Linked DNA regions of Saccharomyces cerevisiae S288C. Changing the gene in region 1 together with any one later gene gives a genetic interaction. Each region holds a gene or a part of one and is shown in the gene's direction. Other genes may lie near its edges. The genes, in order: YFL040W and YPR096C.

Region 1 (4,397 bases):
AAGACGTAAAAAAAGAGTTCCGAATGAAAGAAGAAAGAATCAAGCACAGGAAGACAAGAAACGATGTTGTTCTACTCGTTCGTGTGGTCTGTACTGGCCGCTAGTGTTGCTTTGGCAAAGACACATAAGTTAAACTATACCGCTTCTTGGGTAACTGCCAATCCTGATGGATTGCATGAAAAAAGGATGATTGGTTTTAATGGCGAATGGCCACTTCCAGATATCCATGTTGAAAAAGGAGATCGTGTTGAGCTTTATTTGACTAACGGCTTTCAAGACAATACTGCTACTTCTCTACATTTCCATGGTCTTTTCCAGAATACGAGTTTGGGGAACCAGCTTCAAATGGATGGTCCTTCTATGGTGACACAATGTCCCATCGTTCCGGGACAAACATACCTGTACAACTTCACTGTCCCAGAGCAGGTAGGAACGTTCTGGTACCATGCACACATGGGTGCCCAGTACGGTGACGGTATGAGGGGTGCATTTATCATCCACGATCCGGAGGAGCCCTTCGAATATGATCATGAACGAGTCATCACTCTATCGGACCATTATCACGAAAATTATAAAACGGTTACCAAAGAGTTTCTGTCAAGATATAATCCAACCGGTGCTGAACCTATTCCTCAAAATATTCTTTTTAATAATACGATGAATGTAACTTTAGATTTTACACCCGGTGAAACGTATCTCTTCAGGTTCTTGAACGTTGGGCTGTTTGTATCCCAGTATATCATTCTTGAGGATCATGAAATGAGTATAGTAGAGGTGGACGGTGTTTACGTAAAGCCAAACTTTACTGATTCGATATATCTTTCTGCGGGGCAAAGAATGAGTGTGTTGATTAAAGCTAAAGATAAAATGCCTACAAGAAACTACGCTATGATGCAAATAATGGATGAGACGATGCTTGATGTTGTCCCACCTGAGTTACAACTCAACCAAACTATCCAAATGAGGTATGGCCACTCGTTGCCGGAGGCACGCGCATTGAACATTGAAGATTGTGACTTGGACCGCGCCACGAATGACTTTTACCTAGAACCTCTGATTGAGAGAGACCTACTTGCTCACTATGACCACCAAATTGTCATGGATGTAAGAATGGTCAACTTGGGTGATGGTGTGAAGTATGCATTTTTCAATAATATCACTTACGTCACACCAAAGGTGCCTACTTTGACAACGTTGCTTACCTCAGGAAAGCTTGCGTCAGATCCTAGAATTTATGGTGATAATATCAATGCGCAGTTATTGAAACATAATGATATCATAGAGGTTGTTCTAAACAATTATGATTCTGGCAGACATCCATTCCATTTGCACGGTCATAATTTCCAAATAGTCCAAAAGTCGCCAGGGTTCCATGTTGATGAAGCTTATGACGAATCTGAGCAAGATGAAATGACCGTCCCTTATAACGAATCTGCGCCATTACAACCGTTCCCTGAGAGGCCGATGGTGAGAGATACAGTGGTTCTTGAACCTAGTGGACATGTTGTCCTGAGATTTAGAGCTGACAACCCTGGTGTCTGGTATTTCCATTGTCATGTAGATTGGCACTTACAACAAGGTTTGGCTTCGGTCTTTATTGAGGCACCCGTTTTACTTCAGGAAAGGGAAAAGCTTAATGAGAACTATCTGGATATATGCAAAGCCGCTGATATTCCGGTAGTTGGTAATGCTGCAGGTCATTCGAATGATTGGTTTGACTTAAAAGGATTACCAAGACAACCTGAGCCACTACCAAAGGGATTTACTACTGAAGGATATTTGGCATTGATTATTTCAACCATTATCGGTGTCTGGGGCCTATATTCCATTGCTCAGTATGGTATTGGCGAGGTTATCCCTAACGATGAGAAGGTGTACCACACGTTAAGGGAAATCTTGGCTGAAAATGAAATAGAGGTTTCTCGCGGCTAATTAAACAAGAAAATATAAAAGAAAAATGAAAGAAGTTTATATTCATATTGATGATTTGCAATCCTAAAAAAAATGTAGCACTGTAAATACTGCTTACTATTGAGTATTTTCATTTTGTTCATTCCATTCCCTATATAATATTCATACGTAATCAAATCTATTGCTTTTTTTTTCTCTTTTATTTCGTTGTTTTAGCTCTGACGTTGTGACGCTCAGCCAAGAACGTCACAAAAAAAGGATGAAAATCAAAAAACAAAATATTCAATAAGTGTAATATGAGAAGAGAAAAAAGAAAGAACAAGTACAGTTTCTAACATTATACTTTAAAAATTATTAAGCACAATGACAGCAATGAAAGCTATTGTCTGGAGACTTCCCAAGATGCCGAAAATCAAAATTACAAAAACTTATGAAGTTACGAAAATTACGGCGATATTGACACTAGTAGGATTTATAATGGGCCTTGAGGTGCCGTCATTGGCAACTTTTCTCACAAACAAAACGTTTAATGAGTACTTCAAGTATCCAACTCCTTTACAACAAGGTTTACTCATGGGGTCCACCCCCCTGGGTGGTATCATGGGATGTTTTATTTGCTGCATAATGAATGATAGATTCAGTAGAATATATCAATTTCAATCGGGAATAATAATATGGAATATTGTTACGTTATTGAACTTTTGTATTTGGGATATATTAGGTTTACTAATTTGCCGGATGATCAAGGGTATGATCCTTGGGAACTTTTCAATTTTAGTAGCATCCTACGCAAATGAAGTTATCCCCCGCGGCAAGCGTGGAAGTACGATGAGCTATATTCAATTGTGTTTAACCATTGGAATTCTTGTTATGCATTATTTGTGCATTGCATTAAGTCTATGGGATTCTCATTTTGCGTTCCGTATAGCGTGGTGCATAGGAATCATTCCTGGATTACTGTTCTGGATGGCTAGCTACGCTCTACCTGAATCTTATCACTGGCTAGTACTACATGGGAAGATGAGTGAAGCTCAGGAAATTCAGCACAATTTAGCCAAAAAGTTTAATGAAAGCCAGCCAAGGGATGCAGTCCCTGAGATGAGTAAGATCGAATTAGCAGGAGATTTTTGGATTGGAGTTAATGATTTGGACTTCTCCAAAAAATTACCTCGGGGTTCGTTTAAGCCTTTGATTCTTGGAATGACTTTACAGTTATTGGTTCAATTTAGCGGTATAAACATTATCCTTGGTTATATTACATACATTTGCGAGATTGTAGGGCTTGAAGGCAATGTAAAACTATTCACCAGTTCCATTCCATATTTCATCAACATGGTTTTGAGCTTGTTACCGATTACATTCATTGATTACACTAGCAGAAAGCTAATTACCTTGTTGGGTGGCTTTCCCATTAGTGGGTTGCTCATTACAATCGGCGCATTATTTGTGAAGTATGGTCAAGACACCAAGCCCATCGACGGCAATAGGAGTTTAGTTTGGTCAATTGGAGAAAACCCGTTTGTGGGAGGATGGATTCTAACTTTATGCTTTCTAATTGTTGGAATATTTGCCATGAGCCTTTCCAGTATACCTTGGGTTTACACGAATGAAATGTTGCCCTCACGAGTGAAAGTTAAGGGATTTGCCATTTGCGTAACGTTTGGATGGTTGGGCAATTTTATTTTAACGTTTCTATGCCCTGTGATGATTGAAAGATTAAAAGGCACAACATTTATAATATTTGGATCTTTGACATTCTTGATATCACTTTCAGTTTTGATTTGGTTCCCAGAAACAAAGGGTATGAGCATAGAAGATATTGATAAATTCTTCGAATTTGAGAGTAAAGAGGGCACCAATTTACATGGGGAAAAGGGTATCAAAACGCCGGACTCAAATTCTAATGGCGGTTCTACAAGATCCTCCCAAGAAGGGCAATTGCATAAACCTATAAAACTGAAAAGCGATGAAGAGATGATCATATGATACACGGTCCAATGGATAAACATTTTTTATCAACACTATGATATATAAATATAATAGTTTTTCGTATATATATTCCTTTTTTTGGTCAATTTTTGAAATTTTCGTAGAAAAGGGAGAGACAAAACACATTATATCAATGAAAACGTACAAAAAGTAGATAAAGTCAGTGCTTAAACACGTCTTTTCCTTAAAAATACTTTATTATTTTTATTTTATTGAGAGGGTGGTTTAAAAATAGAAATAGAGAGAGAGGTACATACATAAACATACGCGCACAAAAGCAGAGATTAGAAACACTTGTGGTGAACGATAGATGGACCACTTTCGTCGTATTCTTGTTTTGAGATCCACATTTGTTGGAAGGTAGTCAAAGAAGCCAAGATAGAACCACCAATCCAGACGGAGTACTTTCTTTCTGGAGGAGCAATGATCTTGACCTTCATGGAAGATGGAGCCAAAGCGGTGATTTCCTTTTGCATTCTTTCGGCAATACCTGGGAA
Region 2 (2,940 bases), on another chromosome or scaffold:
AAGTGGTGACAGGTCTTCAACTTTCGTATTGTCCTTGATTTCTACTAGTAGACTCATCAAGTATTTTTCATCTTTTAACAGGGATGTTTTGAAATCTTTCATTGAGTCTTGCAGCTTTAAAGACTTTTCTAACGCCATCTGTTGGAAACGTATTTGGTTCTCCAAATTACTTACATCTATCAGAGCCCTGTTTCTAATGTCATCTGCTATTTTCGGATTTATGTCCTTAATATCTAAATTAGGCCCACTTAGGAAGAAGCGACGAATAGATGAGCTTTGAGAAACCTCTGCATCTTTACACAAAGTCCTTAAATATTGTCTTAATGAAGTTCTCATTTTTTCACCCACCAAAGTATTGATTTTTGAATCGGATGCATCTTTATATTCATCAAAATCACTTTCTTCACCTTCACCTTCTTCCTCATACTCGTCCTCATCAATATTATCTTCTTCCTTGATCTCATTTAGAATATTTTTTCTCAACGTTTCAGTTTCTTTTTCTGTGAGTACTGTTTCTGTAGCAGATAATTCATTCGTTGTCTGTAAAAATGAAGAATTATCAGACTCTGATGCAGATTGTAAATCAGTGTCAAAAGTGTTGACGATTTTTTCCCTGGCTGCTGATTTAGTTTGCCCATTGTGTAACACTTCGGTTTTAGTTATCATAGACGTCACTTTTTTATTTCTATGAGGTAAGCGCGGACATTTCTTCCCCGGAAATTCTGATTTTAAATCATGAGATAGTTTTTTGAAGTCGCTGTATGTTCTTGTCACATAGAAATAACCAGCATGGTGATCAAGATTACTATTCTCTTCATTGCTGTTATCTTGGTCGTCGTCATCTTGCTTCTTAATCTTAATCAAGAAATAATGATGTTTTCTAGATTGCTTGCTCTTAGTTGAAGGCACGCCAAGGGATAATTTCGAAAATAAAGATGCTGAGGATTCGGGCATACTATTTATGGTACTGTTAATAGTGTTGTTGAAGGCATTCTTCATCCATTTAGAAGTGGAAGCAAATGATTTTATAGCATGGCTTTTGGGACTCGAAGTTGGAGTAGATTTACTAGACTTGTCATTATCCACACTTTCAGTACATTTCCGTGAATTCTTATTGAACACGGATATAATATTGACGTCCCAACCGTTAATAAAAACGGATTCGTTAGTGAGCAAATTCTCTAAATTTTCTCTAGTTGGCATTGCAAATTTCTCAATATTAGAGCGTTTTCTCGCTTGGCCTGACTGTAAAACGAATTTATCCTCATTATAATACGCTTGCTCTTGAAAAGAGCCAACACCGGAGTTAAAGAGCAACAAGATAACCTTTGATAGCTTTTTGGAAACTTTCTTCCTTTTTGAAGCTTCCTCCCTGTCATAACTTTCACTAAACCCAAGACTCATGAAATGTTCAAAGAACACTTGAACCTTACTCTGCCAGAATTTTTCATCAACTAGCAAATTTGTTGAAAGTAAAGGAAATGTGGATATAAATTCTTGCAAAACATAACTCAGCATGGGATAATTAACGCTAAAATGGCCTTTGCCACCGAGCACTGGTGATGAATCGTTATTGGAGATAGGCTGTGGAGCTGTCGGATCGTTTGGTGAGAAAGGATAACCGAACTTTCTCAAAGCAAACTGATCGTTAAGCTTTCCAATTTCATAATCCAATTGACATCGAAGCAGTTCCCTCTTCAGGTAGTGTTCTTCCGTTGGATTTAAAGCAGGAGTGTCTTGAGTAATCATTTGAAGACTGTCTATTTTTGATTCTTTAGTACAATTATCTTCAACCACTGATTTCAGTACACAATTCCGACCACAAGGTAAGGTTCGTTTTTCTTTTTTTATAGAGCCCAATGCACAGTAATTGGATGTAGCTCTTAAAAAAGAATGAAAGCTAGAAAGTGATCAATTATTCGAAAAACACTTTAATACGTTCCTTGTTCACGCCTAAAAAGTTAACTGTCAAATGGTTAACGTACATTTATCTGTCTTATGAGAGGCGAAACAGGCGTAAGCATTAAAAACCCAAGGCCATCTCGTCCTTTTTCTTGTTTTTGGCGTAAAGGAGATGTTGAAAATATTAGGAAAAGTGATATAGGGAACGAAAAGAAAATAGACGCTAAGTTCAACAGGCTTCAGTATAATCTATATTACAAGCCTCTCTCGCACCACAAGGCCGGTTTATTGTACAAAGAACTCTTCTTCAGAAGCTGCTTCTCTTATACTACCTGCTCATTAGACTTTCAGGGTAAAAGGCACCAAGTGGAAAGAAAGGCAGTAGATATAGTACTTTGAATTCTTTTGACATCGCAAGGTTACTCGCATCCACTCCCTATTATTTACTCTGTTTCAACTCATTGTAACTTCATTTTCGCTAACTTCCCGCCAGACCAGCTCTTCAATCCACACTTGCCAGATAATGAATCAGTCTATTTCTTCGTTGATTAAGCTTAAATTCCTTCAATCACACAGTAACGATAAAAATGGCAACAAAAAGGGCGGAAGCAATGTTTCAACAGGCATAGATAAATTAAGAGAGTCGGAAAGTTATAGAAGTCCTTTTCTTCAACTCGCAGAAATACAGGAACACACTAATAATGACGACGATAAACTTGATGTAAAAGAATGCGAGCCCACAAAAAAACACAGCAAACTAAGCAGGATACGGCGTAAGATGGGTAGGTTAGACTTGAATTTCAGGTCAGCCAATGAAAAGGGTTCTGAAGATGATGAAATCTTGGTTGCACAACACCTCCGTAATGGACAAGATCCTGAAGAAATGCCTTTCAAATCAGAAAACAACATAGATTCGATAGAGAAAGTTCCCAAGCCCGATGGTGAGAGAGTCACGCTTACTAGCTCCGGGTCTGATAACGTAAAGAGAAATTCAAAACACGCCCCATTCATTCCTGTGAAACCTGCTCTAGAAAAATT

The links.
Region 2: mutations in YFL040W (region 1) and YPR096C together harm fitness more than expected from each alone (negative genetic interaction), as found in Saccharomyces cerevisiae (2 studies listed by BioGRID).

Annotation. Positions count from the first base shown.
Region 1 is NC_001138.5:49,076-53,472, forward strand, and holds YFL040W (uncharacterized protein), read left to right. Parts: upstream 1-2,274; coding exon 2,275-3,897; downstream 3,898-4,397. Other genes in the region: ferroxidase FET5, read left to right, coding at 64-1,932; ACT1 (actin), read right to left, coding at 4,185-4,397.
Region 2 is NC_001148.4:724,203-727,142, reverse strand, and holds YPR096C (uncharacterized protein), read left to right. Parts: upstream 1-1,998; coding exon 1,999-2,301; downstream 2,302-2,940. Other genes in the region: LEC1 (Lec1p), read right to left, coding at 1-1,749; Arf family guanine nucleotide exchange factor SYT1, read left to right, coding at 2,426-2,940.